Oreochromis niloticus: one gene and its partners. The protein of the gene in region 2 binds, or shares a complex with, the protein of the main gene of each other region. Links are inferred from orthologs where the notes say so. Each region holds a gene or a part of one and is shown on either strand. Other genes may lie near its edges.

The links.
Region 1: mybl2b (region 2) and lin54 share a complex: the UniProt entries of both Homo sapiens proteins name them as parts of the DREAM complex. The link is inferred for Oreochromis niloticus from reciprocal best matches to the Homo sapiens genes MYBL2 and LIN54.
Region 3: the proteins of mybl2b (region 2) and lin52 are in contact, whole or in part, in a crystal structure (PDB 6C48), measured with the Homo sapiens proteins. The link is inferred for Oreochromis niloticus from reciprocal best matches to the Homo sapiens genes MYBL2 and LIN52. Residues at the interface, in NP_002457.1 of Homo sapiens: Trp663, Val666, Ala667, Gly669, Thr671, Asp673, Gln674, Phe676, Lys680, Ala681, Gln683, Leu684; in NP_001019845.2 of Homo sapiens: Gln84, Ala87, Tyr88, Gly91, Leu92, Glu94, Ser95, Met98, Thr99, Lys102, Phe103, Leu107, Glu108, Lys109.
Region 4: mybl2b (region 2) and rbl1 share a complex: the UniProt entries of both Homo sapiens proteins name them as parts of the DREAM complex. The link is inferred for Oreochromis niloticus from reciprocal best matches to the Homo sapiens genes MYBL2 and RBL1.

What each region holds. Positions count from the first base shown.
Region 1 is NC_031972.2:11,870,359-11,877,663, reverse strand, and holds the start of lin54 (protein lin-54 homolog), read left to right. Parts: upstream 1-4,292; 5' UTR 4,293-4,426; intron 4,427-4,497; exon of another isoform or gene 4,498-5,688; intron 5,689-5,733; exon of another isoform or gene 5,734-5,888; intron 5,889-6,396; 5' UTR 6,397-6,425; coding exon 6,426-7,169; intron 7,170-7,305. Other genes in the region: cops4 (COP9 signalosome complex subunit 4), read right to left, coding at 794-867. UniProt on the Homo sapiens protein: Component of the DREAM complex, a multiprotein complex that can both act as a transcription activator or repressor depending on the context. In G0 phase, the complex binds to more than 800 promoters and is required for repression of E2F target genes.
Region 2 is NC_031970.2:33,717,041-33,724,956, reverse strand, and holds the start of mybl2b (v-myb avian myeloblastosis viral oncogene homolog-like 2b), read left to right. Parts: upstream 1-4,906; 5' UTR 4,907-5,379; coding exon 5,380-5,399; intron 5,400-5,832; coding exon 5,833-5,929; intron 5,930-6,071; coding exon 6,072-6,143; intron 6,144-6,227; coding exon 6,228-6,320; intron 6,321-6,416; coding exon 6,417-6,637; intron 6,638-7,163; coding exon 7,164-7,296; intron 7,297-7,391; coding exon 7,392-7,451; intron 7,452-7,562; coding exon 7,563-7,760; intron 7,761-7,916. Other genes in the region: ift52 (intraflagellar transport protein 52 homolog), read left to right, coding at 131-260, 357-432, 586-657, 740-866, 956-1,039, 1,179-1,247, 1,373-1,527, 1,607-1,694 and 3 more. UniProt on the Homo sapiens protein: Transcription factor involved in the regulation of cell survival, proliferation, and differentiation. Transactivates the expression of the CLU gene.
Region 3 is NC_031983.2:9,853,317-9,860,814, reverse strand, and holds the start of lin52 (protein lin-52 homolog), read left to right. Parts: upstream 1-4,494; coding exon 4,495-4,642; intron 4,643-6,703; coding exon 6,704-6,778; intron 6,779-6,863; coding exon 6,864-6,901; intron 6,902-7,000; coding exon 7,001-7,067; intron 7,068-7,256; coding exon 7,257-7,340; intron 7,341-7,498. Other genes in the region: pomt2 (protein O-mannosyl-transferase 2), read left to right, coding at 215-324, 427-493, 615-675, 790-868, 1,007-1,158, 1,240-1,331, 1,426-1,502, 1,592-1,663 and 5 more.
Region 4 is NC_031970.2:5,191,268-5,199,216, reverse strand, and holds the start of rbl1 (retinoblastoma-like protein 1), read right to left. Parts: upstream 3,015-7,949; 5' UTR 2,861-3,014; coding exon 2,699-2,860; intron 873-2,698; coding exon 739-872; intron 378-738; coding exon 174-377; intron 1-173. Other genes in the region: si:dkey-222f2.1 (keratin, type II cytoskeletal 8), read right to left, coding at 4,508-4,626, 6,675-6,721, 7,772-7,848. UniProt on the Homo sapiens protein: Key regulator of entry into cell division. Directly involved in heterochromatin formation by maintaining overall chromatin structure and, in particular, that of constitutive heterochromatin by stabilizing histone methylation.

The DNA of each region.
Region 1 (7,305 bases), on a different chromosome or scaffold from region 2:
AATAAACAGCTATTTAAATATTTCCATTTTAATTAACCATTAGCATATACTGTGGATAAAAATACAGTAAACACTTTCTTCTTATACAAACACGTATACAACAGGACCTAAAAGATACCTTTTAAATAGATTTATCACCTTTTGGACAATACTGACGAAAACTGAAATTGCAAAAGTAGACTTTACAGCACAGTTGTACTTGGATTGCATAGGTGTTCCTAATAAAGATGTTGTTTATAGGATGGTAAGAACGTACGCAAAGGGTGTCCTGGCAGTTTTCTAGTCAAGTATCACTTTGTTCAAACTGTATTTAAGCTATATTTAAGCTATTTTAAATTTGTTTATGTCTTATGCTTTTATGATTGTGTAAACTCCTTGCTTTTATGTTGCTTTTTACTCTACTGTGTACAGTGACCTTGAGTGTTTTGAAAGGCGCTTTCAAATAAAATGTATTATCATTATTATTATTATTATTACCTTGTGCTCTGCACCAAATGTGCAGCTAAAGAGCAGCAAGTTAGCTAGTTAGCTTGGATGATAAAATATACAGTTCTCATAATTATTTTACCAACAATTAATGTGGGTAGTCACTCCTTTTATGTTCCTTGCACTTTGGATAAAACCTAAAAGCAAACATTGACAGACTGATTGCGTTTCTATCTGGTTTATCTGGATGTATGGCTAATGCAGCTAACGTTAGCTTAGCTTTGTGCAGACCAGTATCTAGCTGCTAGCTAGCAGTTTCTGTTGCAGTTTTTAACGAGTGATGTTCTCCCTAACTAACGTTACATACTTGGCAGCAAGATCTTTATGAGATCCACTTGAGTTCATCAGTTGTGTAAGCTCCTGCCTCACTTCGGTCGCCATTGTAGCCTGTGTCGAAGTGTCAACACCGGTTTCCTCTGCCAAGACAGGGGAGAGCCTTCCGTCTGCAGTCAGAGCGCAGAGCTCAGCCAGGAAGTGACGCAGCCAGCCATGGGAGCGGAAGAGGGAAAAGAATGATTATAATTATTTTAGGCCAGGCTTAAATGTTGATCTATTGTATTACTTTTTTATTGTCTGAATTTTAAGTGATAATATATGTTTTTAAACAAAACTTGGTGAGTATTATAAACTATCCATCCCTTTCCTGAAAATAATCATAGCTATATTTGGTTACATTTTTTCTGGTAATTTTGTGTTTTAACCTAAAAAAGGGTCAATCTATTTTTAACACTAGTATCATCTGAAATATGAGGGGCTTTCTTGTGTTTGCGCAATAAAATATCCTGTCTCACAGACATGCTGAACAACTACATTCTGTATTTAATGCCTCTAGGCTGGGCTGTTGTAAAGCATTATTATCAGGTTGTTCTAAAAGCTCCCTGAAAAGCCTTCAATTGATCCAGAATGCTACAGTAACAGTACTGACGGGGACTAGCAAGGCTTTTTCTCGTTCACTGGCTCCCTGTTAAATCCAGAATCCCATTTAAATTCTACACCTCACATACAAGGTCTTGAATAATCAGGCCCTGTCTTATCTTAAAGATCTCATAATACCATATCACCCTAACAAAGCATTTCACACTCGAGTTACTGGCTTACTTGTGTTTCCTAGAGCATTTATAAGTAAAATGGAAGGCAGAGCCTTCAGCTTTCAGGCCCCTCTTCTGAGAAACCAGCTACCAGATTGCATTCAGGAGACAGACACCCTCTCTACTTTTATGAATAACTTTTCTTCTTCACTTACTTCTTACTTTCTGTGTGTTTATACAGCACTTTACATATAATCATTAGTTACAGCTAATCTCTAGTAGACTTCCACAGCGTGTCTTTTGCCTTGTCTTTCTCTCTGCTCTCTTCTCTTCCCCACACTCCAAACCAGTTGCAGTGGATGGCTGCCCCTGTACCCTCTGGCACATTCTTCCTGGTAAAAAAGAGTTTTTCCTTTCCACTGTTTCCAAGTGTTTGTTCTTGGGGATTCATTTGACTGTATGGGTTTTCTTTTTATTACTTTTTAAATGCTATGTAAATAAAATTGAATTGAGCTGACATTTTTGTCAAACCAGTCAAAAGTTTGTTTGTTTGTTTGTTTGTTTGTTTAAGTAAAATACAACTAAAATATATAGCCTAACTAAATAATGTTGGATAATAGTAATAGTAATAAAATACATATGACACCAGAGGTCAAGTTATATACAAGTGGTATCAGTTAAAAACTAAATATCTATAATCAACATCAGTCAAAAAGTATATAAGTATTACGCAAAATACATAAAGACATGCCTGATGTATCGACTTTTGTACAAGAAAAAGTCAGCACCATAAGAGCTCATTGACTATCAACTGGACCTCATGTCACTTATGATGAATCTCCAAAAGTTGAATCTGTTCATCTGGACGTAGTGTTTTGTGGGAGAAACGTTTCGTCACTCATCCAAGTGACTTCTTCAGTCTCAGCTGACTGCAGGTTTCCCCAAACCTTATAAACAGTACATTTGCATAATGACTGAAACCAGCCCACTGAAGGAACAATGGGCTGTGAGGTCAGTACCTTAATCATATCACGTACTACATTTCACAGATCACATTAACTCGGTGGACCGGCACATCAAATTCACCAGGGAGGATATGAAAAGTGGCAGGTTAGCCTTCTTAGACTGTGAGATTTCCATCAGTAATGGGGGACATCTAAAGGCTGACGTGTACTGTAAACCTACACATACGGATCAGTATCTAAGGTCTGACTCTCATCATCCACTGGAGCACAAACTGGGTGTCATCAGGACGCTACAAGACAGAGCGAACACCATCCCCACAGACACAGCGGCCAGGGAGGCAGAAGAACAGCACATCAAGAAGGCCCTGAGTAAATGTGGTTATCCCAGCTGGACTTTTGTCAAAGCGGGAAAGGCACCTAAAGAAAGCTCCAGCTGATCCAGGAGAGAAGGACAACTGCTGCCCAAGCGAAAACCTGTAGTGATCCCATATGTGTCAGGAGTATCGGAACAGTTGAGACGCATTTTTTCTAAACACCGGGTCTCTGTGGCTTTTAAACCCCAAAACACGCTGCGCCAAAAACTGGTCCACCCCAAGGATCAGGTCCCCCGACACAAACAGAGTAACATACTGTACGCTGTTAAGTGCCAGGAGGATTGTCAGGATTTATACATCGGGGAAACCAAACAACCTCTAGCGAAGCGGATGGCACAACACAGAAGAGCAACCTCATCAGGCCAGGACTCTGCAGTCTATTTACACCTACAGGCCAGTGGACACTCTTTCAATGATGAGGATGTACACATCCTGGACAGGGAGGAATGCTGGTTTGAGCGCGGAGTCAAGGAGGCCATTTACGTGAAGAGGGAAAGACCATCTCTGAATCGAGGAGGGGGCCTGAGGGTACATCTTTCGCCATCTTACAACGCTGTGATTGCAGCCATTCCCCAACTCAAAGTGAATGGTACTCATGGCCATTGATCAGTGTTCTTTGATCAGTGGGTTTTGGTCAGTGATTGTTGATCAATGGTCATGGGAATTTGCATAATTATGATTAAGGAACTGACCTCACAGCCCATTGTTCCTTCAGTGGGCTGGTTTCAGTCATTATGCAAATGTACTGTTTATTAGGTTTGGGGAAACCTGCAGTCAGCTGAGACTGAAGAAGTTACTTGGATGAGTGACGAAACGTTTCTCCCACAAAACGCTACGTCCAGATGATCAGATTCAACTTTTCGAGATTTACTTTCCTGGATGATTGAGAATGCATCAAGACTTATGATGAATGTACTGAAGAGACTACGCTGGCCTGCCTAAGACCTCAGGCGAAAACATCTCTTGACACTCTGTAGTATGCAAGCAGGTCGAATCTGGGAGTGAATCATGGCGTAATCTCCATGCTGAAGACAGTTTACTCCCATCTAGGCAGTAACAACTGCAGGGTGAAGTTTATCTTCTCTGATTTTCTGAAGTGCATTTCATGTGTTTTGCCACTGTTACTGTAAGAGAAACTACGGGACATGTAAGTAAACATGTCCACCACCTTATTATTTACTGACTACCTGACAGTGGTACGTGAGACTGGGCACTTAGTGAGGCTGCTGGGTAGTGCTCTGTCAGATTTTGGTAATGTCCAGCACACGAGCTCCAAGGCTGACTGTGTTGTTTGTTTTTTATAAACTAATAAAAGTTTTTATTTTCCCAAAAAAAACTATAAAAAAGAAGAAGAAGAAGAAGAAGCATTAAATAGTTTTGTAGAAACAGTCCTAACGTTGATAAAGCAATTGTGCTGTAGCTTTAAGTGTTACGTCAGTGTTTCGTATCGCGTGGAGGGCGTGGCCGGCCTGTGAAATGTCAGGGAGGAATGGCGCTCGGCGCGGTATTTTGAACAATCGTCTTTTCCTTTCCTCCCTTTATCTGGAAACGCTGCTTAGCTTAAAAATTTGGGGTAAGCATGACTATGCGTTGGCCCTTTCTAGGATTTAACACACTATATTCAACATAAAGACTCACACTAAAGAATGTATTCAATGTTGAGATATAATGTTGTGCTAGCTAGCTCGGGTTAGCAAGCTCAGCAAGTTTGCTAGTACAGTTGTCCTGCCCGCTGGGCTGTCTAGATGAGACTGCTGTTGCTGTCTTTGCTGCTGATGGTGATAATGATAACAATAACGATAACGATGTTTAAAGATAGACTCCGGTGAAAAAGCAGTATAATATTCCCAGGACTTGGTTCGGCAGAGTATTTTCAGCGCTTAAGGAAAGTTTCTCGTGCACAAAACAGGGACTTGGTGTAAATATCATGTGAGCCGGCCGCTAAGTTTACTTACTGCAACGGCAAATGAAAAGTAAAAGCTAAGTTAGCTGCACATCGAGTTTCATTTGACATACTGGCGAAACGTCTAAAGGATCATAGATATTTTTATATGTATGTAAAATATTAGAAGGCACAAGTCAGCAGTTCCATTTGCTGTTAGTTGTTTTCATATTACTTTAGCTGTTGACCCCGTAACATTCTTGGAATTTACGCTTTTCTGGTTCATTCTCAGACTATAACTCAGTCAAAATATGACTTTCTTGAGGTTAAACTAAAACATCATTTTGAACTGGTTAGGCCACGCTAACTCCAGCCCTAAAACACAGACTGTAAATGCTCTTAAGGAGATCTATAGTAGCAATCGCAATAATTGCATTGTGGAATTAAAATGTTGTATTTCCTCCTATGTCAAGTGACAGGAGAAATTAGTGAAAGCTAGCATTGTTTACGTTGTCAGAGTCTGCAGAGTTTTGTTGTTGTTGTTGTTTTTTGTTGTTTTTTTACTCGCCAGCAGCACCCTGTTAACATCAAGTCTTATCTTCAGCGATTGTTTAGTAATGCTTGTTTTGCAGTGAACTGTCAGTGTAAGTGTCTCTGCTTATTACCAATATTTATAAACGCTTCCCCTCAGCATAGCTTAGCGTTAGCCGGGCAGCTAACTAAGCTGATGACGAGGTAAAAATGGCGGATCTTTCGAAATCCAACCCCGGCCTGAAATAGTAACGCAGCCAACAAAACAGCTTGTCGCTTTTTTTCCTCGCTCTTTGCCCCAGTCAGGACCACTTCTGGGCATTTTTAAAATAAACGAGTGCAACTCAGCACAGTTTTCTTTTGATGGCTTTCATCTGGGGACGTGAAGAGATTCAGCTCAGTCAGCTCTGCGTGTGAATGTGGTATGGAGTGGGTAGGGTTCATATGTGCGTTTCGGTGGATTAATGTTGAGTAGAGTGCAGCAGGACAAAGATACGGCAGAGATGATCGTTGCGGCCTAGCATCAGCTGTCTGCTTCAGTCAAAATCAGCACAAGTCAAACGTTACTCATGCCCACCTCTTTATTTATTACACCTCACGTAATTACTGAAGTGATTTACAGGTAAAGTTATGACAATCTGGCACTTCTACTGCACCAACATGGCTAGCTCGCTAGCTTGAACTATCTTGCTCTATATTCTCAGCACAGCTTTTAGCTGTCTGTCTGTATTATAATCCAGTTATGTATATTGTATAAATGAGTAGAGGAATACATTTTTAAATGAATTGCAAACACTGTTGACTGCAATTAAATGCAACAGCTCTCTAAAATGATGAATGTATATCCTCAGAATTTTAAAATTGTATTATCTTTGTCTGTCTCTCCCTGTTCATGGTGCATCTAGTGCAGTAAATGTAAGCTTCTAGGTCTTTCAAATAATATAAAAGTGATCAAATACAACAGAAAACCCTCCTGCCTAATAGCCAATAAAACAGATTTGACCTGCTGGAGTTTGAACATGTGTGCCTGTATTATAAGTTAAGCTGACAGTGGTGTTAATGTTGTGGCTTACTGGTGTTTTTGATGTATTTTGCAATGACAATTAAAGTTAATTGTATTGTTCTTTCAGGATTAACAGAAAGCTGAGAGTTTGCAAGCATGGATGTAGTGTCACCAGAGCTCAACAGCCTCCTCCCTGATGAGATCATGGATACTGAGGATATAGAGGATGTTCCTCACTCTCAACCTGGCACCACTGGAGTCCACTCAGAGCCCAGTGATGATGCATCGGTCCCAATGGAAACTGATACACCCATGGCTTCAGAGAACGTGAGCCTCTGTTCAGACGCCGCTTTAACCGAACCCACTCAGGCTATGACCACCTCCACAGCCACAGACTCCATGCTTAGTGCCAGCCCCAGAAGTCCGCCTCCTGTCTCAAATTCCAGCACATCGTCTCCTCTTCTTACTATCAAACCAGGCTTGGCTACTTCGACAGCCACAACCAAAACCACAGACAGTGTTACTGGAACTAGTGTGACTACAAGTGGATTACAGAAGCTCACAACTCCATTTACAATCTCTCCTGCAAATCGCCAGATTATTCTCAATAAGGTGGCCTCTCAAGCCTCAGAAGCAGCAAAGTCTGCAGGTAATCCACCTCAGGTCATCAAGCAGGATGGACAGAAACTTTTGGTTACAGCTATAGGAAAATCAGGGCAGCCTATAGTGCTTCAGTTACCCCACACAGGCAGCAAGCCTGGTGTTTCACAGACTGCCGGGGACACCAAGTCTCAAGCTCCGCAGTTTAAAGTGGTGACTATAGGTGGGAGGTCAGACCTGAAGCCAGTGGTGGGCAACCAGGTGACCACATTACAGACCCAGCAGCTGAAGACTGTCCAGGTAACAATGACCTTTTGTATTATTAATACATTTTTACAAAAATATTGCTTGTCATGTTCCACATGTTACTGTTAAATTAAATATATTTACTACTGTAAATGATTGCGTCAATATCAATTGAACATACTGTGTACAA
Region 2 (7,916 bases):
TGATATTTGCCGGCTAATTTCCAAGCAGTCTAAAATTCTACAAGGCTTAGGGCCACCCAAAATATTTAAGCTTCTTTCATTTGTTCAACCGCAAACACATTTTCACAGTAGTTATTTCCTTTTATTTCAGATGGAGGCGCTGAAAGTCTACCTGGATGGAGGAGGGAATATCTTGGTCATGCTCGGTGAAGGAGGAGAAATGAAGTATGACACAAACATCAATTTCCTCCTGGAGGACTTCGGAGTAATGGTCAACAATGGTGTGCATTGAAACCTTGTTGGAAAAACAACTATGCAAACATTGCCCATGCTGTTTTTAAAATGCTTTGTATTCGTTTTCATCTTGTTCATCCAAGATGCTGTGGTGAGGAATGTGTACTACAAATACTTCCATCCTAAGGAGGCGCTTGTGTCGAATGGTGTACTGAACAGGTTCACCAGTGTTTTTCTCTTTTTATGTATATTTCACAGAGTCCCAGGTTGTTCTAGCCTAAATTTATGATGGCATAATCTAACACTTATCTAATTTCATCTGTATGCTGATAAATGCCAAACTATCAATTCAGTTGCCTGTTTCCTGTGCAGGGAGATCAGTCGTGCTGCTGGAAAAGTGGTCACGGGAATCATTGAAGATGAAAATGTTGGAAACAATGCACAGTGAGTCTCAATTTTGTACACCTCCATCTTCTGCATTAAAGAGAAAGACTTCAAATTTGAGTTGTTGTCTTTCTTTGTGCAGGGCGCTCACATTTGTGTACCCGTACGGTGCCACACTGACCGTGGTGAAGCCGGCCGTGGCTGTTCTTTCAACGGGCTCCGTCTGCTTTCCCCTCAACAGGCCTGTCCTGGCTTTCTATCAGGGCAAGGTCAGAGGCACAGTGTAGTGACAACTTTCTTTTCCTAACCATATGGTCAGAAATGTGGTAACATGGAGATTACTTTTTTTTAAATGTAGAATTCTGGCAAACTGGCTGTCTTGGGTTCCTGCCACATGTTCAGTGATCAATACATAGACAAAGAGGAGAACAATAAAATCATGGTAAGTCCACTTTTTTGTGTAATTTATTAGGTAAAGGTAGAAGCATGATCCTTCTAGAATAAAGCTCCTTTAAATGAGTATTTCAATAGTAGTTTTTTTTATTGGCTGCCGTGGCATACAACTTTTTCTTTTATCACAGGACGTTGTGCTTCAGTGGCTCATGACCGATAACATTCAGCTGAATCAGATTGATGCCGAAGACCCAGAGGTGAGGAAGAGGAGTGTGCATGGCAAAATGGCTTTCCTAATTGTTCTCTCTCTCTTTCTTTTTCTTTTTTTTTTAAATGAGCCAAGGTTCTTCTTTTCTTCTTGTCCTTTTTTTTTGTCCCCCAGATCACAGATTACACAATGCTGCCAGACACTGGCTGTTTGTCTGAACAGCTCAGAGTGTGCTTACAAGAAGGAGACGAAAACCCACGGGACTTCACCTCTCTCTTTGATATGTCTTTGTTCAATCTGTCGACTGACACCTTACCCCAAGTCATCAGGTGAGAAATTGGTCACCCTCCCCTGAGTCCAATCGCTGTTGTTTCCCTTCGAAGCTAAAAACAGATCTTTGGTTTGCAGTGCTTACAAGCAGCTTAATGTGAAAGCTGAGCCACTGCAGCTGATTGCACCGCAGTTTGAAACTCCTCTGCCTCAGCTTCAGCCTGCTGTGAGTTTTTTTTTTTTTTTTTTTTTTTCTGGGGGTTTTCTGTTCAAAGGATTTCACGTCAATGTAACTGAAAACTTAAGACAACATTTTTGCTTAAAGTCCCACAAGTTTGAAGCCAAAAGTAGGTGCTGTCCTGTCTTTCAGGTCTTTCCACCTGCCTTAAATGATTTGCCACCACCCATGCTGGACCTGTTCGATCTAGACGAAACATTCTCGTCGGAGAAAGTGCGACTGGCACAGCTCACCAATAAGTGTAAGTTCAGGATTGCTAATGGAGCATTCACACATGCACTGCAGCCCTCTAGATATCTATTGATGGAGGCGTATGTGAGGACTTACATGTCCAGGGCAGTCAGATTCCACATTAAACTGACTTTCATTTGCTACTTATGTGTGAGAAGCTAGGTGGTTATTTTCACAGCAGTTCAGTAGCCATCCTTTATCTCATATAGGTTGATCGGGTGTCCCTCTTTACGTGGGACTGCACAGCAGTTTCATCTCTTGTATCACATATTTTGACTTAACCTATGTCTTATCTTTTAATTTGACCTAGTTTTAAAAGTCGAAATATATATGTAAGACAGGACACTTCAAAAGTCAGCCAATTCCTCCGGGTTTGTTATCTTTAGTGCCATGTGGCAACACGATGCAGAGCAGCTACCTAAACTCTACTCCCACAGTGTCCTCCCCTCACCCCATCTAATCGTGGCAGATGGCTACCCCTCCCTGAGCCTGGTTCTGTTGGCTTCTTCCTGTTAAAAGGGAGTTTTTCCTTGCCGCTGTCACCAGTTGCTTGCTCATAGGGAGTCATCTGATTGTTGGGTTTTTCTGTCTATTATTGTAGGGTATTTACAATAAAATATAGGCGACTGTGAATTGGCGCTATATAAATAAAATTGAATCGATTTATTGAATGACTGAAGAATGCTGTCATGGTTCTCCTGCAGGTTAGCATGTCATGATATTTTTCTGTTTACACTACTTAAAGTTTAAATTCACAAATCACCAAAAGTGAATGAAATGTTCGTGGAATATGAATAAAAGTACTACAAATAACAGGAAATGCAGCATGTTTTTTTTTGTTTTTTTAAACAAGTCTAAAAAGGCCTGTTGATACCTGCCGTCAGTTGGGATGCTACTTTCAATCCTCCCGCTACAGATATTTACATGTTAAATGTTTGCTCATGAGTCTCCTTTAAATCTGATCACCCTAGTCCCACCTATTGTACACTCTACCCAGACATCTCCCTTAAACTAAGTTTATTTCTGAACTTGCCTGTTTTGAAGCAGATAGTTAATCGTACTCATCCTGTTATTAAATGGGTTGTGTTCACAGGTACAGACGATGACCTTGAATTCTACGTCCGGAAATGTGGTGAAATTCTCGGAGTGACTCCTAAGTTGGATAAAGAGCAGAGGGATGCCAAGCACATCTTGGAACACATTTTCTTCCAGGTTGTAGAGTTCAAGAAACTAAATCAGGTGAGTGTGTTCATAACTACATCTGCTTGCATCTAAAGGCTTTGTCCAAAAATGACTTTCCTCACTTTTGGCAGGAACACGATATGGATCCTGAGGCCCGGTTCACTCCGCTGTGATTGGATTCAAGAAATCTGAACATTCAATACGTCCCTTTTGAAATTAGCACAGTTTGAGCTTATGAGCACAGTTACAATGGAGGGACTGTGGTAACCACACTTTTCAGAACATGTACAGCTACATTTTATAACTTTGTATTGTCTTTCATTGTAAGAATATACCAGAGCAAATAAAGTTCTATACCCTTTATTTAACAGTGCTTTGAAAATATTTTTGTAGTTAAAACATTGATGTGATTATTAAAAAGGCAAACTGTTCTGCATCAGTCCTCACATGGATCCTTTAAAACAGAACATGATGTCAAACTATGGATTGGGGGGGGGGGTGTTAACTTGGACATAGTGGGTGCAGAGGCTGGGAGTGCACATCACACTTGACATCTAACATTTTTCCCTTGTAAAGTGTTAATTTTAGCCACATCAGGGTGAAACATCAGCTAGTGACTCTTGTTGTGAGGGTTTTGGACTCCACGTTTGCTCCAGAGTGCAGGACTCCACGTAGAATCTAGGGCTATTGCTCTCCGACTTGATCACAGACACGTCCCATGACATTTGTGAGGCGGTGAGATCGCTGTATGACTGATCAAAACAAGCTGCCTGCTTTGGCTTCTGAAGGAGCATGTGGGGAGTGGAGGACTTCCCCTGTAACGGGACGGCCAGGTAGCAGCCATCAGCTTCGTGAGTGTTCATGGTGTTCACTGAAAACCCTGGACAGGGAGAGGCGGTGTCAGAGGACAGGCAGAGAGAGGCTCCAATAGACGGCTTGGTGTCCAATCCATCAGCTGTTGTGTCATTCGACACCCTCGATGTGGACAGTTGTTCCAGTGACAGTACAGACAGCAGACTCTGTTCCCCATAAAACTTCCTGTCAAGCTCTGATGGAGATGAGCACTCAAAGCTTTTCATATCTAGAAGGTAAAACATGTTAGACAGAATTCAGAAACAAATCACCTGATGAGGCAAATCAACACGTCTAATTCAGTCTAGTTTTCTTACCTTTGACCACAAACACTTTCTCCATGTTTGATCAGGGCTGCCTCCCTCCTCCAGCTGGCTTTTAAGCTGTTGGAGCTGCTTGCTAATTGACCCAGCTGCAGGTCATCAGTGGGAGCAGGAGGCGGACCTGTCAGCCCTGTACAGATTCAGGCCCTGTAATTTACTTGTGGTTTATTGAGCGCTAATCTGTTAGGTTATATATAAGGCTGTAATTTTAACAAGATCACTAAACCTTTTAAAAACTATTTATTTGTATGCTGTTTAAAAAAAAAAAAAAATTTTAGCATTAAAAATATAATTTTTATTAAAGAGCTTACACATACTGGTGGACTAACCACTACAGAAACATTAAAAATACTTTTTGAATACCAGTACTATCAATTTAAGGCAGCTGGTGCATAAACCTTACACCGGGTGGTGGTCTAATAAGCACTGTATTGTTTAAAAGCTGTTCGCAAACATACTATAGATTTTCTGGGAAGGAAAATGGTAGAAAGTATATTTAGTTAAAGGTGTAAACATGAAAAAACAAACAAAAAATAAATTAAAATGACTTTATAAGTAAACACTTTTATGTGAAAGTGTCTGAAATTTTGTAGTAGAAAAATCGTGTTTTTTCAAACTAAATTTCATTACTGTTTTATTATGTAACAATATCTAAACTTCCCCTCTCAGCAATTGGGTGTTTACAGTGTTTGACTGAGACACACCAATGACTGCAGAAAACATTATTTTACGATAATAAAACAAAATTTACAGCGCTGGGACAAACCCAAAAAAGTTCCACCGGAAGCTTTCTCTGTGGCTACGCGCAGCTCCAATGCGCAGCTACGTCACTATCCGGTTCCTACGACAGAGAAGAGCGCGAGATAGAAATCCAAGAGCGCGGACAACTCTGGCGCTCCGCACCAGCTGGTTGTATAGGCTGTAACATTAGAACAGTGCCGAGCCTCCATCACCAACACTGGCTACAGCATAAAGACATTAATCACGGGTATTACGACGACATAATACCAAGTACGTATGCACATGACGTGCAACGGCCGCCGGAGAAATCGCTTTCGGACCGTAAACAACAGAAATAGAGGGAAATGTCCCGGTGGCCGCGCGGGTAAGATGTTAATCGTTATTACCTAAATTAGCTGTGTGTGTGTTTTTTAACACTGGGGGTTGACGTGAGTATTTAACTTATTCTTTTTAATACAGTCAATTGGAAACTGAAGTCTTCACTGTTTGACCTAACCCTGCTATCCCTGGGAGCTCGCTTGTGTCTGGCCGCCCTTTTTCCGGACACGGAAAACAGGCTTTGGGTTAAACTTAAGGCCAAACACGGTTTCTCTTAGATCACACTAGATAAATAAATCACTGCTCAGCACAGACATTATTGGCAAACTGTGTTATTTCTGCGAGCGAACTGTTATCCGCCAAGTTGGCTAGAAAAATAAGAACGATAATCTAGCTGTCTTCCGGACATCACCAGGGCCGGTCAGTAGTGAGTTGTCTGTCAGCTATGTTCGTCCACATCACAGTTGTTTGTTTCTCAGTGAGGATGGAGAGGAGGCCATGCATCAGGACACTGATTCTGATGTGGCAGAGCAGAGGGATGGAGGGAAAGTGAAGGTGAAATGGACTCAAGAGGAGGTATTTGTTTATTTTTATTTTTTTAATATATATAATGTAAACCAGACTGCTTCATTTAAACATTGAAGTAAACAGATAATTTAAATGGCTCTAGAGGAGGACAGGGATCATAAGAAATGCTCATTTTTTGGTGTGTATACAGGATGACAAGCTTAAAACGCTGGTTCAAAAACTGGGACCAAATGACTGGAAAACCATAGCCAGCTACATACCTGTGAGTCTGAGCATCTTTTCTGTAAGAATGTATGTCAACAGAAATCTTTTTCAGTATTTTGAGTTTGCTTTTTTGTTTTTTTAGAATCATACTGAACATCAGTGTCAGCATCGCTGGTTTAAAGTCTTGGACCCAGAATTAGTGAAAGGCCCCTGGACTAAAGAGGAAGATGAGAAGGTAGGTAGTTCAGAGGTGTGAATGGAGTAAATATGTTGTGAATAAAAGCATGCTGGTGATCTTTTTTTTTTTTAACTTTTCTTTTTTGTCCTCTAGGTTATAGAGCTTGTGAATCTTTATGGCAACAAACAGTGGGCGCTGGTAGCCAAGCACCTGAAAGGCAGACTGGGGAAGCAGTGCAGAGAGCGCTGGCACAACCACCTCAATCCCAGCGTTAAGAAGTCTTCGTGGACGGCTGAGGAGGACCTCATCATCTATAAGGCTCACTGCCTGCTTGGCAATCGCTGGGCTGAGATCGCAAAACTGCTCCCTGGAAGGCAAGTAGCTACTCTGCCAGAAACAGAATTGGGCTGATGTGAGCTTTTACATGCAAACTCCTGCTCTTTTCTGAAGTGAATTCTTAAATTTTTAACTTAGAAAAGTTTGATACGTTGCCGTGCTTGTCAGATACTTTGTAACAACTGATGAACAATTTAATCAGCTGCCTATCCGGTGGGTCACTTGTCCTGCAATGGACTCCTACATCACAGTCTTAAACTTAAACAGTAGTTCTCGTTCTGTTCTCAACCACGAGGAACTTGTTCCAGCTAGACTGAGCCTGTAGGTCACAGCAGATCTTCGCAGCAGAGTATTGTCTACTGTTGTTTGCTGGAATCCTTTCATCCACAGGACGTGAGACACACTTAAGAGGTAGTGTAATTACATTGTTGGATGTCTCAGGAGAAGGGCCAGGTTTTAACAATAAGTCAACTCTCAAAATAAGTGCGAGGATTACTTTGTGTTGCCAAATGAAGTCAGTATGTGGGGAAACACTGCAATTCACGTCCTGATATATATTGACAGGACGGACAATGCAGTGAAGAATCACTGGAATTCGACCATCAAACGGAAGTTAGAGATGGGCTTCTACTCCGGGGAGGTCTTCAGGCCCAATGAGCTGGAGGAGCTGTGGGCTCGTGTTAGCAAGGATGGTCAGGTGGGCTGTGTTTCCATGATGTCCTCCTCTATGATACAAGATACAAAAGATATGTATGGTAAGATACAGAAATTGGGTTTTTTCTCATTACACAGATGCCCAGTTGCTCTCAAGACAGTTCAGACAAGGACTCGGAGCAGAAGATCCCTCCTTCAGTAAGTGACTGTTCAGATTCATTTAAAAAAAAAAAAATAATAACACCGTTACCTTAAGTATCAGAAACTAGTCTATACTAGTGTTGTTATAGAATCTTCTTTTTCCAATAGCTGCAGGAAACAGCTAAAGCTGGCCCCAGCAAAGCTGGGCTGTCAAAGTCTGTTCCCTCTCCAAGCAACAGTCTGAGCCCCAAGAGTGAGGTGGACAGCACAGGAGGACTGAACAGCACTAGCTGGGTGGTGGACAGCTCCGGATTCCTGTCTCCCACTGGCCCAGCTCTGAAGGAAGTGTTAGACATGGTGGATGGGGTAAATATCCACAATACCACAGGGTTATTTTAAAAAACTGTCCCGGTTTTATATTGTGTATAATGTATTCTGTATACTGTTTGTTCTGCATCTGTTCAGTCTTGGCTATTTCACAGTTGTGGCTACATGCTGACCTAACAAATAAATGTCTCTTCT
Region 3 (7,498 bases), on a different chromosome or scaffold from region 2:
ACAAAGAAGAGAAAAAACACACACAAATATTAAACACCTCCACCCTCCAGAAAATACAAAAAACATTATTATGTCAGTATAAAAGTTTTATTTTGATTGTGTGCATTATGTGGTTATGTGAGACATAAACAAAAAAATGTGTTTAATTTAATCTATTAATTTACATTTTCTTACGATGGTAGTGATCCTATGATTTGTTGTTTTTCTCATGCAGATCTGGCATTTGGCTCTACCGTTACAATAAAAAACCTCCGTATTGCTGGAGGTTATTTGCACTCTCATTGGCACTTATACCCAGAAGGAGTTGGCGCAAGGCAGCAGCAGGTCAGGCTAATTGTTGAAAACTGAAATATTTTATATATTTATATTTGTAGTTTCTTTGTTTTTTTAACTTTAAATGTTTTCTTATGATTTGTTTGCTTACAGGTGACAGCCTACCTCCATAAGGACTACAACAACTTGTGGGTGGTTCACAGACAACAAGATAATAATTGTGAGGAACTGACATTGATATATTTAACAATGTTGCCAAAGACAATGTTAAAATCCAACTAGGATAAGGAATTGTTGTTTTATTGTTTATATCTATTGTTTTGTTTTGTTTTTTAAAAAAGCTCAATCTGGCAACCCTGATCTTGTTCGCCATGGTGATATCGTTCGACTGGAGCATAAAGAGTAAGTATTATGAATGACAAGAAAAATGCACATTTTATTTAAAGTGATTCAGTCTCAGTTCCTTCCCAAATCTCTTTGTGTGTGTGTGTGTGTGTGTGTGTGTGTTTCTTTCAGGACAACACGTAACCTTCACAGTCACCTCCATGAGGCGCCTCTGACCAAGAAGCACTTCCAGGTTACAGGTTATGGCATTGTAAGGAAGGCTTTAACATAACATCTGCACTAAAAATACAGATTCAGTTGGACTTGACATATTTATTGCATATTCTGTTTTGGGGTTTTATGGGTGTTCTGTACACCAATACTAAAATTATTTTTGGTCTATTCTTAGAATGGCACAGGGGACGCCAATGACCTGTGGCAGATGGAGGTGTGTGGAGGTCGGAAGGGTGACCCAGTAAAGGTGCTGCGCAGCAAAGTTCGCTTTCTACATCGAGCTACCGGCTGTGTGCTTTACTCCTCTGGCAAAACTCTTCCAAAGTGGTAAAACTAGCATACTTTTAAATTTGAGATGACTTTGTACACAACAGGTCAAAACGCACTACAAATGTTGTTTCTGTTTAGGGGCTGGGAACAAATAGAGGTGACCTGTAGTCCCTACTTGAAGGAGACCCCAAGCTCTCAGTGGAACATTGAGGACCATATTAATCCAAAATGTATGATCAATTCATTCAATGTATTCCTATTTTGTGTTTGCACTTCTTGATGTCAGACAGCAGCTAACATGTTGTGTATTGTGTGTTCTGGCAGTACCCAACATTAGTCTGTCTGTGCTGAAGCCTAATTTTCTGGAAATCTTACTGGAGTCCCATATTGTTATGTTTAGAGTAAGTAATAATAAGAGAATAAATAAGCTCATCTGCTTTAAAAGAAAGTGCATCTTCATTTCTTTTCTTTTTATTTTATTGTCTTTTAGGGAAATAGTGGCTTAAAACCCAAAGACAATGAGATGAATTCAAAACCTTGGCACTGGCCCATCAACTACCAGGTGCATTACACTCTATATAAAATCTATTTTAGTTATATATATAAATATAAATTTATACTTTTTATCTTTTAACTTAATGTAATTTGTTTCCGTGAAGGGCTTGAGGTTTTCAGGAGTAAATGCGACAGAGTACCGCGTTTACCTGCTGGGGAACCCTGTAAGTTTGTTTTTAAGTTTTTATGCTTACAATCTCATTTAACCAGCAGATCAGTGTCCTCATGGTGAAAATGGTTTTCAGGTGGTGTGGTGGATAAATCTGGCCAGTTTGGGGTTGTATTTCACCATGGTGGCGGTGGCTTCCATAGCCACCCAAAGAGGTTTTTCACTGGGCCAACAAAGAATAGGTATGGTAAATAATGGTGGCTTAACAGTATGCTTTTGCATAGTGACTTTAAGTAAAGTAGTATTGTCCTGTGTTTCAGAGCATTCTCTTGTGCTTGTGAGAGGAGGTGGACTGCTGATGCTTGGTTGGCTCCTGCATTATGCACCTTTTTTTACGATGGGTCGTATCCTCTACTTTCATCACTACTTCCCTGCAATGCTCTTCAGCAGCATGCTAACAGGTACCAAACTGTGCTGGATTTCTGTATTCCAACTATAAAGTGCAGAGGGTAGTGCAGAGTTACAGAACTGAAGTAGAAGCCACACATAAGAAGCTTTTTTCAGCAGGTTTGGTGGGTGTAGCCAATACTTCACTTACAACTTACTTCACTTAATGGCTTGCATTAGAGCCGACAGTGTTTGGGACACAGTTATCTCAGTTTTGCATACTTGACTGACAGTTGTTGCAATTTTGGTTAAATAATTGTATTTTTTTCCTCCAGGACTGACGTTAGACATCCTTTTCAGAAGTGCTGACCTTCTACTCCACCCACCTTATTCTTATTGGTTCCAGCGAACTGGGCAGCTGCTGCTTCTGTTTAGTATTCTTTACAGGTGAGCTGAGTAGTATGAAGAATCAGCTTGTTCTTAACACTGTCAGAAACAGCCTATCATTACTGTGAGATATCTGCTACATAATGTAGTTCTTTATGATACTCCATCCATTGTTGTATACTTTGATTGATGCTCTTGATGCTCCTAATGGTTTAATAAGCCATGACGTTCTTGTAGCTGTGGATGAAAAGATTATGAATTATTAAAGGATTGTTATTGTTTTGTTGAGAATTAATGACAAGATTAATACCTACAGTCCATCATGATTGATAAATCATTTAAGTTAAAGGAAGCAGGTGCTCTTAATATGCTACATATTGTCATGTATATCATGTAGATGTAATACAGTTTTCAAGTTTGGATGGACTATCATACAGATATTCTAATAGGATTACAACTTTCTCATCTGGCTCTCAGCAAGAAGCTTCTCTGCTAATTCTTACTAAATATGAAAAGAATAATTACACTGAGGGTCTTACATGAACTTCTTGCTGCTGTGACTTTAGATCTCACAGCCCATTTTAGCACATGAATGAAAGTTTTTCATCTGCTTAGTGTAACTGACTGTGATCCATTCATTGTCTGTCAGTTTCTACCTGTTTCATCCGCTGTCCTATGGCATGACGGGTCCGCTAGCACACGAGCCGGGCAGCGCCATGGCTGGTCTGAAGTGGATGGACTCCTGGGAGTTCTAGTCTGCTTTGCAGGAAGATGACACTAATGATGTGACTTGCACCAACTGTTCTGAATATAAGGGACTTAAAACTGACAGAGTAGAGTGTTTGCACATAGAAGTGATTCTTAAAAGGTACTGATTGAATTTGTACGTGTCTTAGTATTTGTGTCACAGCATTTGCACCTGACGTTGTCTATCATGCATGAAGAATGCTTGATAAAGCAGACCTAACTCAATGCAATGTGAAAGCCAGATTGTGGTGTAAGTGGGAATCTTAACTTTGTCTCTGAGAGGCCTTAACTAACATCACAACTTCTGTTCCTAGATTTAATGTGTACTGTAATTCAAAACAATAAGCTAAAGTGCCTGAAAGGAAAAAGGTTTTAAAAAGTAAGTTTTAAAGGTTTAAATGCTACATGTCCCTGATTTTTGTTTTTTAAATTTTGTACATAGTTGGAAGCTATTAGACTGTATTTTGATTAGGGATTTTCTGATTTTACTCATTACTTAGTATTTTGGTACTGTACTTAGCCAATAGTGCTTTGTTACTCGCTATTTTTACACTAGGTACCGACTCTGTGTTTACATTTTAATGTGATCAATAAACAGTGATCCTGCATTCTGTATCTTTACTTATAAAGTTTTCTGCTTTTTTTAAGTTGAAGGAAATCTTTAAATTGTTTTTATGTTCTGTACAATAACATGAAGCATGTCTTTATTATTATATTGAGTTGAACCTTTTTTTATTTTACTGAGATTAAAATGATATTTTCAGTGTTGATAATTAAAATATGAATCACCACTTGAGATATCCCCAAAAGCTCAGAAATGTGTAGAAATCTGATAAAAGTCAAGAGTTCAAAGTATCATTCCAGAAATATCCCTGTAATAGCATAAAAAGTAATAGGGTATTGATTGTTTTAAAACATTTTTGTCCAAAATTTTAATTCCATAAAAATTATATCCAATATAATTACAAAAGGTCAAAATATCCTTAAATCTGAAAACTTTACACTGCTTGATATAGGTCCCCCTTGAAAATAATTACGTATAATATAATACATTGCTTTGGTCGCAGGTGTATAAACATATTCCTGTGGTCCCAAAGTTATATTGTTAGTTTAAATGTAGGAACCGAAGTCACCCCGATCAAAATATAACCGTCAGTTACTTAGTGTTCGTTGTATATTTTTTCTGATTTGAACTTAATACTGGGTTTATGCTCCAACATTATACCAGCGGGCCGCCTGGTGGCGTGTTTCTGAAGTACACCACATACACTCGTCAAATGTCAGAGCTGCTGCTGCCGCTGCCATTGGCTGTCGTTTATCACGTGATTATTGTGAAGATGGCGTCTCCAAATGGAGGTAAATTCTAATTCTTTACCCTGCGACGCTGTGTATAAAATGTAAAATTGAGATCTTTAAGCACATTAAACCGTTAAGAACTATAATCCTGTTTTAGCTGAAGACCCACAGACGACAGAATACGCATGTTAGTGCCGTATTTTTGCTGTTTGGACATGTTTTTCCGTTGGCTAAAGCCCTCACTAGCCCCGGCGTTCGGTCCAGTAAATGGGGAAGAAGAGCGGGTAGCAAGCTTGAATTCTGTCGTGTAGTCTGACTCACAGAGCTGAAGCTGTGGATGCTGCTAGCTAAAATATTAGCTGTTAGTTACTGCTGTACTACTAACAGGTTAAATCATCCCTCCTTAGACCAGTTTCATAACAACTACAGTGTTTTTGTTTCGGTTGTATTTCTTTCTTCTTCTTTTTTCTAACGTTTTTTTCTGTGTTGTACATCTCGTTACTCTTATTAATGGGAGCTGTGTACTTGAAATTTATCATTTTGTATGTTTAACAGTAAAGCGCCGTGTGTTTTAAAGATGACTGTAGACACTCACTGTTGTACCTCTTTCGTAATTTCTTCCATACAAATTGAGAGTAATTTGACCCAAAATTTAACATTGCAATCCATCCAATCTAGTCTTTGTGTAATTTGACATACCTCAGCCTTTTCTCCCCTTTTCCTCAAATGCACATTGCATTCTGTAAATATGCCAGGTTTGGGGGTAATAGCTCTTTGGGTTCCTTGATGTGCAAATGCTAATTTATATTGTCAGTCCGTGTTTCATTTGTCATTTCTTTGTAGGCTCAACTGAAGAAATTAGAGAAAATTATGTTTTGCAATTGGCTGCTAGTAACAAAGTGCCTAATACCTCTTGAGTTAAGTGATTTTGTATGCTTGAATGAATTCATAGATCAGTGTTAAGTGGCTTGACAAACAATCCTCTTAAAATGGTCACGTATTAATGATTAGGTGGAAAATAAGGGGAAAAGTAACAAATGGCCAAAGAAAAACTTTGAAATATCTTCACTAAATCTGGAGAACTACTGGTCAACACTGGTCAAAGTCTGGTTCAGTGGAAGGAAAATGTAAAGAAATGATGGGTGGCTCAAGACTTTTGCACTGTACTGTACATGGCATTAAACATGGAAGAAGATGCCTGGGGCTGTTAAAATAAGGTGTTATCACACGATTTGCCAGACAGACTGGCTCTGACCCAATTTTCTGCCTGTATTGTCACTACTGTGTGTAGGTCATGTTACTGCTGAGCAGATAATGGTACACAGTCAATCAGTGTTTGTGAAAGTTTGTGAAATACATTGCTGGAAAGCTGGTAAACAGCCCAGCATTTTCCACTTTTTATACAATTGTGACATGCTGTATGTATACATAGACAACTTCATCATCCCTCGTTAATTCTTAAGGCTGTTACGTCCCTGTAATTTCACTGGATGGATGGAACACCACCATTCTTACTAAACATAGATCCTTATCTGTTATTTTTTAATGGAGCGCCTTGTGACTTATAAGTCCAAAATAAGGTTTAGTGACTGTGAGTACCATAGAATTTGATATAGATGGGACCATTGTTATTCTATAAAAGACAACTTGCATCAAAATAGATTTTTTTTATTATATGATAAAGGTGATCATTCAGCACAGCTATGTATTGATTTTAGGAGACTCATGTTTCTCTGAACAAGCCACTTATTCAGCATTATTCAGTGTTGCAGGGAGAATGGAGCCTATCACAACTGTCACTGGGTGAAAGATACCCAGGGATTTTTTTTTTTTTTAGTAAAGATGTTTTTCTTCTGTGAAAATCCATCCATCTATTTAGTGCCACTTACATGTTCAGGGTTGTGGGGGAGCAGTCTTAGCAGAGATGCTCAGACCTAGCTCGTCAGATGCCTGTACCACCTGAGCTGGCTCCTTCTGATGCAGAGGAGTAGCAGCTCTAAGGGAACGCTGAAACATCATTTCACGATGTCATTCTTGCATTTGTTGCCCACAGTTCATGCCTCGTGGTTACAGTAGGAACTTAAATCTACTGGCTCTAATTTGTTTTCTTTGTCTCGATAGGTGATGATTTTGAGTCATCATTGCTGAGTTTTGAGAAGTTGGATAGAGCATCCCCAGACTTGTGGCCAGAGCAGTGTAAGTTTATCTCCTGCGCCTATGTGACTGGTTACCGTAGCATTTATTATGCATAAACTTTATTATTCTCTGATCTCTCATACAGTACCTGGAGTCGCAGAGTTCGCTGCATCTTGTAAAAATGTGAGTTAGATTCAATATGGCTGAGTTTGAGTTACACATTAGAAACATAAATAGGCTTGTCACACTTCATGATGCGTGATCTGTAACTCTTTATCACAGCCCATCTGCAATTCACCCCCAAAATGGATGTCAGATCTGGAGAGTGAGGATATTGAAATGTTGAAAGGTTGGTCCAAATAGCCAAAATTATGTTTTTTTTTCCCAGACAGATTTTTCAGTTTACTTGTTACAGTTGGTGTTAAACAGAAAGACTGGGGGACAGAGGCAGACTTACTATATAATCCTGTCAAATGGGTTAACATTTTGCTGAAGTTGGGTTAGTGCTTTTATTATGGGTCTTATTATCCTTCTGTAGAGCTGGGTAGCCTGACCACAGCCAACCTGATGGAGAAGGTCAAAGGACTTCAGAATCTAGCGTACCAACTGGGCTTAGAGGAGTGTAAGTAAACAAACAGCACACACATGCCAGTGTACAGATAATCCAGCCTTTATACCTTTAAAATCACTAAGAGTTCGAAAAGGATGTGGTCACATGTTACCACTAGATGGTGCTCATAGGCCTCTCTTGGGTTTTGCTTCTCTGTCTGGAAGAAGTAA
Region 4 (7,949 bases), about 29 Mb from region 2:
GCTAAGCAGTGTTGAAAATTGAATGTACTTTAATATAATTTGCACTACAAAGTCCAGCATCAAAGGGATTTAAAGCAAACACTTTCAAAGTAGATCTTAATACTTTAGATATAGAACTTTACAAGAATGTTAACCAAGGGTTAGACAAGCAGCTCTGTGTGTGTTAGTGTTACCTGTGCTTCCTGCTGCGTGGTTGCCGTGGCGGGTCGGTTCCCTGCGGATTTTGAAACATGTCCATGAAGATGGGTTCAAACTTGCGGAAAATCACCGTGGAGACCTCAAAGTTGCGTTCCAGGCGCTCCATTCGGAGCCTGAAGTCCTGTGAGAGCTTGGACATGTCGGCCCACTTCCTCATCTTGGAGAAGAACTGGATCAGACTGAGGAAGGGACAGAACAAGCAGAAGTGTACATGTTCAAACACAAAACAATGGAGGATAGGCTCCCATTAAAACTGTAACTGGAAATTTTGTAACACACTTTTTAAAGGATTTCAGTTTGTAAACATTCATTGTTTATGGTCAAATTTTTCTACAGATAATACAGAAAATTATTTCACTTTCTGTGTTATCTGTAAAGAAGACACTGAATCTGAGTCTTTTCTTCACCATCAGTCATCTAAAACCAGGTAAGTTACCACCTCATAATTTATTCGGCACACTGATGTTTTTATTGCTTTATCAGTTGCTACATTTTTCTTAAACTGCACAGTCAGGTCCCGCAGAGCTGACAGAGATTCACCTGAGTTTCGAGGAGCGAAGAATCCTGGTCAGTGAGACACAGTTTCCTTCCATCAGCCCTTTGCCCACTGTGGGAGTGGACCCCTTCCTGCAGGCTGCATACAGTGAACATGCCAGCCAGTGTACAACATCTCCCTGCAGAGAAACAGCAACACAACATTTACACATTTGTCTTCGATACATAACATAAACATAAAGCTTTGTGCATCATGCAGCTGCATGATGCACAATCATATTCAAAAAGTTGGGAGTTCGCCTTGTAATCGGAAGGTTGCCGGTTCAAGCCCTGGCTTGGACAGTCTCAGTTGTTGTGTCCTTGGGCAAGACACTTCACCCGTTGCCTACTGGTGGTGGCCAGAGGGCCTGGTGGCGCCAGTGTTCGGCAGCCTCGCCTCTGTCAGTGCGCCCCAGGGTGGCTGTGGCTACATGTAGCTTGCCATCACCAGTGTGTGAATGTGTGTGTGAATGGGTGGATGACTGGATGTGTAAAGCGCTTTGGGGTCCTTAGGGACTAGTAAAGCGCTATACAAATACAGGCCATTTACCATATTCATCTTTTTAGTCAAGAAACATCAAACTGATCAGAAAACATTTTGCTGTCACAGCTTCGTAAATGTAAATTAGGAATCAACATTATACTTATAAGCGTGTGTCTGTGTTTTTTTTAAAAGAAACCTTTCCTGCTTTTATCCATGTTTTTATTTTTGGATTCTACTTAAGCTTAAATAATAATAATAATAACAATAATGACAATATTGATAATACATTTTATTTAAAAGTGCCTTTCAAAACACTCGAGGACAGTTTACAGAACAAATAAGACAAGCATAAAAACAGGAAATGAACACAATAATAAAACAAAGTTTAAGAGCATGGAGTAGTTAAACAGAGTAGGTTATCTATCTTTGCATGACTCATGGTTTCAAATAATTCCCATTTATTGTTTTTCATTTTAATTTTCAATAAACAACGTTGCCATGAATTTTATGCATTTAAGTGAATAAAAAAATATTTATTCATTGAAATCAGCCCTATTCAAATAAAGATATGAGTTTAAGAGGTTTTTTTTTTTTTATTTTTTTTTTACAATGACCATTTATTTAATTGAAAGGAGGACGAAATAACAACACAAAACTAACTACAGAAGAAAAACTACTAATGTCATCTATTGGCCAGACTGATATTTCAAACATCAGTACTGACCTAAAAATTTCATCAGTAGTGGATCCCTATACCGCAAGCACTCTTTAAATTACTGCACAGCTTCACCCACCCACACTAGTATACAAAAACAGGCTTGATATAATTTAAGTCAAGCGTCTTTATGTATGTATGTTTATGAAAAAAAAAATCATGACCAAGGTCTGGGGTAACAATACGTTTTCCCCCTTTTTGTTATTCAGTCCAAACCCTGATGTGAACAAAGACTGTGGTTCTGGACAGTAGTTACATTCAATAAATAAAATATTATGATTACTCTAGTGTCTACTTTATCAGAAACTCACGCCATCACAGTAACCCAAACAATAAACAACATATGACAACAACAGCTCAACAAAATAAATCCCAAATAAATCTATATACGCTGTCTTTAGTCTCTAATCTATTTTTAGTTTATTTTATTGTATATATTTAGCTTAATCCAGCTGATACCTGCTGTAACATTAACGCTTCACTTGGACATTAAGTATTTTTGTATTGGAGAGGCCGAAACCAGGGGTGACTCTGACACAAGAATAAATCAGCACGATCATTTTACTGGCAATATGATTAGTTGATACACAGTGGCGATCGACTAACCGGTGCAACTCCAGCGTGGAAAGTAAAAACAGAGCCCTTTAACTGCTGTGTTCGTGTCCTGGTGAAGCATTCACTACGCATGAAAATTAATCTACAGTAATGAGCTTAGCAGGAGTCTGACTCGTTAAACAGCTACTGACTATTTAGAGGACATTATTCACCTCCAGAGTATATGTATTCCATATGGCAGTAAAGTTGTCCATGGCTTCTGTGGCCGTCTGTTCGTCCATGTTCAGCTCCTGACACAACGTCTCCAAACTCCTCCGCACCGAGCTCTCCTCCATCCTGCTCGACTCCGAATCTGAAGACTCTTCGCCCCGCATCCGCACCAGCGACAGGTGTAATTTCAACCTGAGTTCAAATCTAAAAAACAAAACACAGCGCCCCTCTTTCCCACTGCCAAATAACACAGCCCCCCAACTTGTTCAGGACACAACAACTTCCGTTATCAGTCCCCCACAATGCAGCGCGTTGGCGCGAAAACTTCACGACCCGGACCAATAAGAGGCGAGGGGAGCGTCGGTCCCGAGCTGTTCGCCCAACCCCCTGCCACAAGCTGAAAGCTCGTGCTCAGCCGACGCTCTGGCTCTTTGCTTTCAGCTGTTACCAGGCAACCACGTTCGAAGCGCGCGACCGAAAACATGTTCTATTAATTTATTTTAAATTTTGATTATTGGTATTTAATTGAACACGAGCAAAGCTATACGGAATAGAAAATAGAAAACGTTTTTATTAACTGTTAACTGTGTCAATTTTAAGATGGCCTACGAATGCGTTCCTTTCCCCGCCCCCGGAAGTTTAATGTAGAGGACTGAAAGGATCCTAAATTTAAAATACTGGAAAGATTGTAAAACAGAAAAAAAGGTAGCACTTGTAATAACCGGAAATTTTGACTTATGGGTGGCTTTTTTGTGATTCTAACCATGCATTTTTAATTTATATTTATATTAAACATTTATATTAAATTCAATTTACATAGTAATAAAATAGTAACGTCTACAGGTGTGTTTAAAATGCGTATTGTGGCAGAACTTCCTTCTAGAACTTTGAATCAAACTTTTAACTTCCAGAAGTAGCGACCCTAAACTGGATGAAGCTTGGTGGTTGGATGGATGCATGGATGGATTGAAAGGTATTTAGTTGTTTGTTTTACATTGCCATGGGACAAACCTCTAACCTCAGCAGGGCCTCTGGTATGTTCAGATACTGTATACTGTTAACTCTGGGTATATTAATTTTAACTGCTGGTGCATGCTCATGCTGTAATATTGTTTGGTCTTTTGTAACAGTGATGCTTAATCACATTAAAAAAGGGGAACATGGGGCTGACTGTATAAAAATAGCACATTTTAGTGGGTCCTCTGAAATGCTGAGTCTGAGTGTAGCAACGCGACAGAGACATCAATATAAATAATTCAAATGTGACGTATGATTAGCATGGAGTTTTTTATACTTTGGATTTTTTTGCTTTTACAGAAGTTTCAGAAACAGGAAAGAATAAAAAATCAAGAACATTTTTGTTTATGATCACTTTATTTTTGAAAGCAACTAAAAAGTAACTTAGCCCCCTCAAACTAAACTACTTCTGTAGCTAAAGAAAGTTAATGTTCTTTATAGTAGCATAAAAAATCTCTTTATAACCAGCTATCCTAAACTCTAAACTCCAATAGTCGTATGACCGTGTAATCTCAGTACAGATTAGACAGTAAATAACACAGCACTCTACCACAGTGTGTATCAAAACCCCATATGATTAAAGCTAGACTACTCAGCACACTAAACGAAACACATTAAAATCCTTAACAGTATTAGGAACTAACAACAAACCCCAGGACTACTCCCACTCGGTTTTGTCATTTACATCATTTATGTTTCCATTATTCTAAGTAAAGTAATGAAATGCCCCGTGGAGCCCCTCACACATTTAGAGACAGCTTTTAGAAAATCACAGCGGACCAGTGAGTGTGCTCTCAGTGAATGCTGTATCTGCTGTTATCTCTGGTCTCAATTGTCTTTATCAGCAGCTTCGGGGCAGGAGAGCTGGAGGCACTTTGGTAGCCATTAGTGCTTTTAGTACTTGAAGAGAAACCTGAAGAAAAATACAGGAAGATGTGTAAGACAAAATTTCACAAAATACAAATTCTCTGTCGTTATTAATGTAACCTCTCAGTCCAGGGGCCCGTTCTTCGTACCTCGCTATGTAAGTTAGCCGGATTTGATTGTTGACGATTTCGCGTGATCTTGGATCGTTCGGTTCTCCGAAGCTCATCTGGGACTTGCTGTCATAGCAACAGATCCGTAAGCGTAAACCTGCTCGGGAGCAGGTTTACTTTATGTAAACAGGATTAGATCGCGGCCACTCAGGTATGTCCGCTGCATGTACACGAAAGCAACAGCGATATTTCACCACTGTTTCTCCATAAATAAATATTATCAATGTAACTAAAGATAATGCAGTATTTGATTCTTTTATTGATTGCATACAGATACATACAGGTCATTTCCTAAGAAAAAGGGAAATGTACTAGTAATCATTCTATTACACGTATTTGATTATTTCAGATGTAATTCGTATTTTAGAGTAGTAATAGTAAATTACTTCGTGTAATCAAGATGAGAGACCACGGCTATAAAAGCGAAGGTGGATTTGGGAAGTCTGTCGCAGTCATGTCCTGTCCGTTTGTACGCGAGCAACCCATTGCGGAAGGTGCAAGATTGATAAGGAGAGTTTCCAGAATTCAGCGTATATTGCGGGATTGACAGGATCCGTCCTGTCATACACATACACACACACACACACACACACGAGGGGGTGCAGGACCACCACCTGTCTTTATTTGCTCTGCCCTTTTCTTGGTTGCTGTTATGAACAAACAAACAGATTATTTCAGGGTCTCTTTTCAAGAGACTAAAAGCAATATAAGTGATAAATATTACCATTCTGTAGAATATTCTTATATTTCACTTTTACTTGTCCCCATGTTCTAGTGGGTCCTGTTGTGGCTCTAATGTGAAAGAGGATATAATGGAATATGATATAATAAATTATTTACGAGTTTAATTTGTCAGCAACTTTCTGCCAGCCCTCTCTCCTTGCTTTTGCAGCCTTTGCAGTGTTCCCTTGCGTTTTAATTAAACTCTGAAACTCCTGATATCCCTCAGTCAAGAGTTCTTGCTCTGCTGCCGTAAAATACTGAGCGCGCGCCTTCGACATCTTCGCCGACCAATCACAGGGTTGCCGATCAATGTTTCTACTATCGATGCGTAGCCCCTTTTGAGACACCCAGTGATCTCGCATTACTTCATCCAGCTATACTGATCGTCAACAACAGGTGTGTTCGGAGAACCGGATTAGCGAGCTCAAAGTTAGCGCGATGATTTGATCTTGGATGTGTCATTTGATCTTGGATGTAGTAAGCGAGGTACGAAGAACGGGCCCCTGAGCATCAAGGGTTTAGTCATATAAAAACATTCTGTCACGGTCCCCGTGTCTCTCTGGCTGGCTCACGCTGGCTACAGGTTTTGTTGTTGTTTTTTGTTTTTGTTTTCTTTGTCTCTCCTCCTCCTCTCTGCCTGGGTGGAGCTCGTTACGGGCTCTCGCTCTTGGCCCACGCACCTGTGATTGTCTCCACCTGCTGCTGATCTGGCTGATTTCCCCAGCTGCTATTTAAGGCAGTGGCACAGAGCAGCTCACCGCTGGAACGTTGAACCTCCTGAGTTCGTGCTCTCGGCATTATCAAAAGAATCCTCTATGTGAATTTTGCTGTGGAACTAACGTTGAATTCTGTGTGTAGATATCCCTCTTCTGGACCAAATCATGGGACCTGCCCGGGTGTGGCAGCATGTGTGGAGTTTCGGAGCAAGTGCGGCTGAAGAGGAGTGCGTGTGTGCGGAGGAGCTGTGGCGGTGACTGTGTGGAAGAGGAAGCGTGTGTGGATCCCCCCCCTTCTCTCCCCAGAGCCCTGGACCCCCCCTCTCCCAACTCACTGTACATATATATAGCACTGAGGTGATCCCTGTTGTAAATAAATAATCTCCTTTTGTTCTCAAAGAAAGAACTGTCTGCGCGTGAGTCCGTCCAGTAGCCATGACACATTCATATTCATACACTAATCTGCCTTAGTATTTGACACTTACTGTAGTTGGAGATGGGCTGGATGTTGAGGATAGACTGTTGTCCAAGTCTGCAGAGGCAAAAGAGGAAAAAAAGAAAAGAAAAAGAGGTTATTTATATTTCACTTTTGTGGACTCTTTAACTCTTCTGTTCCATCCTGGGCTGTAACCATGTGGTGTCACATTCCCACCTGTAGAGGGCACTCTACCCTAACATTACCCAAATTCTGTTTCATTTCAGTCTGGTGTAGTTCTCACTGATGTCTCTATTATCGCTCCATGGGGTATGATAGCCCCGTTGACCTTGAATTAGATACGCAGAAGAAAATGGGTGGATGAATAAATCATGATAAATCTCTGGCTTCATCTGGGAAACAAAGAGCTGCAAAATGGCTTATCAGCAAAAAGTATAAAAGTCATGAGCACCACAAATGTTTATCTGGCATTAGCAGAAAGACCTGAACCTTATGGCATTCACACAATAAAGAGAAACAGGAACTAGGAGTTAGCAATACAAAAAACCTTTCCATTGGAATCAGATCCTTGTCTGGTTCCACTGTTTCTAACTATTAATTTAAGATTTAAACTACATTATTATTATTGTGGCACACCGACAAATTAAAAAATGTTATTTAGTGCAACATTTTCTTTGCATTCAGAGGTTTTCTGAGGGGAAATTTGGGTGCAGGAACAAAAACAGAGTATATAAAAAATCCAAAAAGAATTCACTCATCTACAGCAACGTCACATTTTTGCGAAGCTTTTTAATTTACAAAATTATCATATGAATATTTTTATCCATAATATCAATTTTTAATTTAATCACTCTTAGTCTCAGTGCCGGTATTTCACTACCAATCTCATTCCAGTAAATCAAACATCAAACTAAAATTACCCTAATGATGGTCATAAAGGCTCCTGTATACACACATCCATGAGTATACATAAATAAAGAAATGGTTTATGAAGTAGTTTACTTTTAGTCAGAGTCAGCAAACATAAGATTATGCAAGTAACATTGTAGATAAGCCTCTCGCAATTTATTCTTATTGGTTTGGAAGGATGTACATTCTGGTGAACTCTCTGCAGTGGTAGAGTCTGAATGGAATAACCATAACCACCTGTCCTCCTCTCCTTCCAGCAGCTTCCTGTAGGTGGCGATCTCAATATCCAGAGCCAGTTTCAAGTTCATCAGGTCCTGCAGGTGAAGACAGAATCAGTTTCACTTCACGTAATTTCACTTCACGTATGTTCTATGTTTTCTTGTCTATCCTTTGTTTCTACTTATTTTATGTTTAG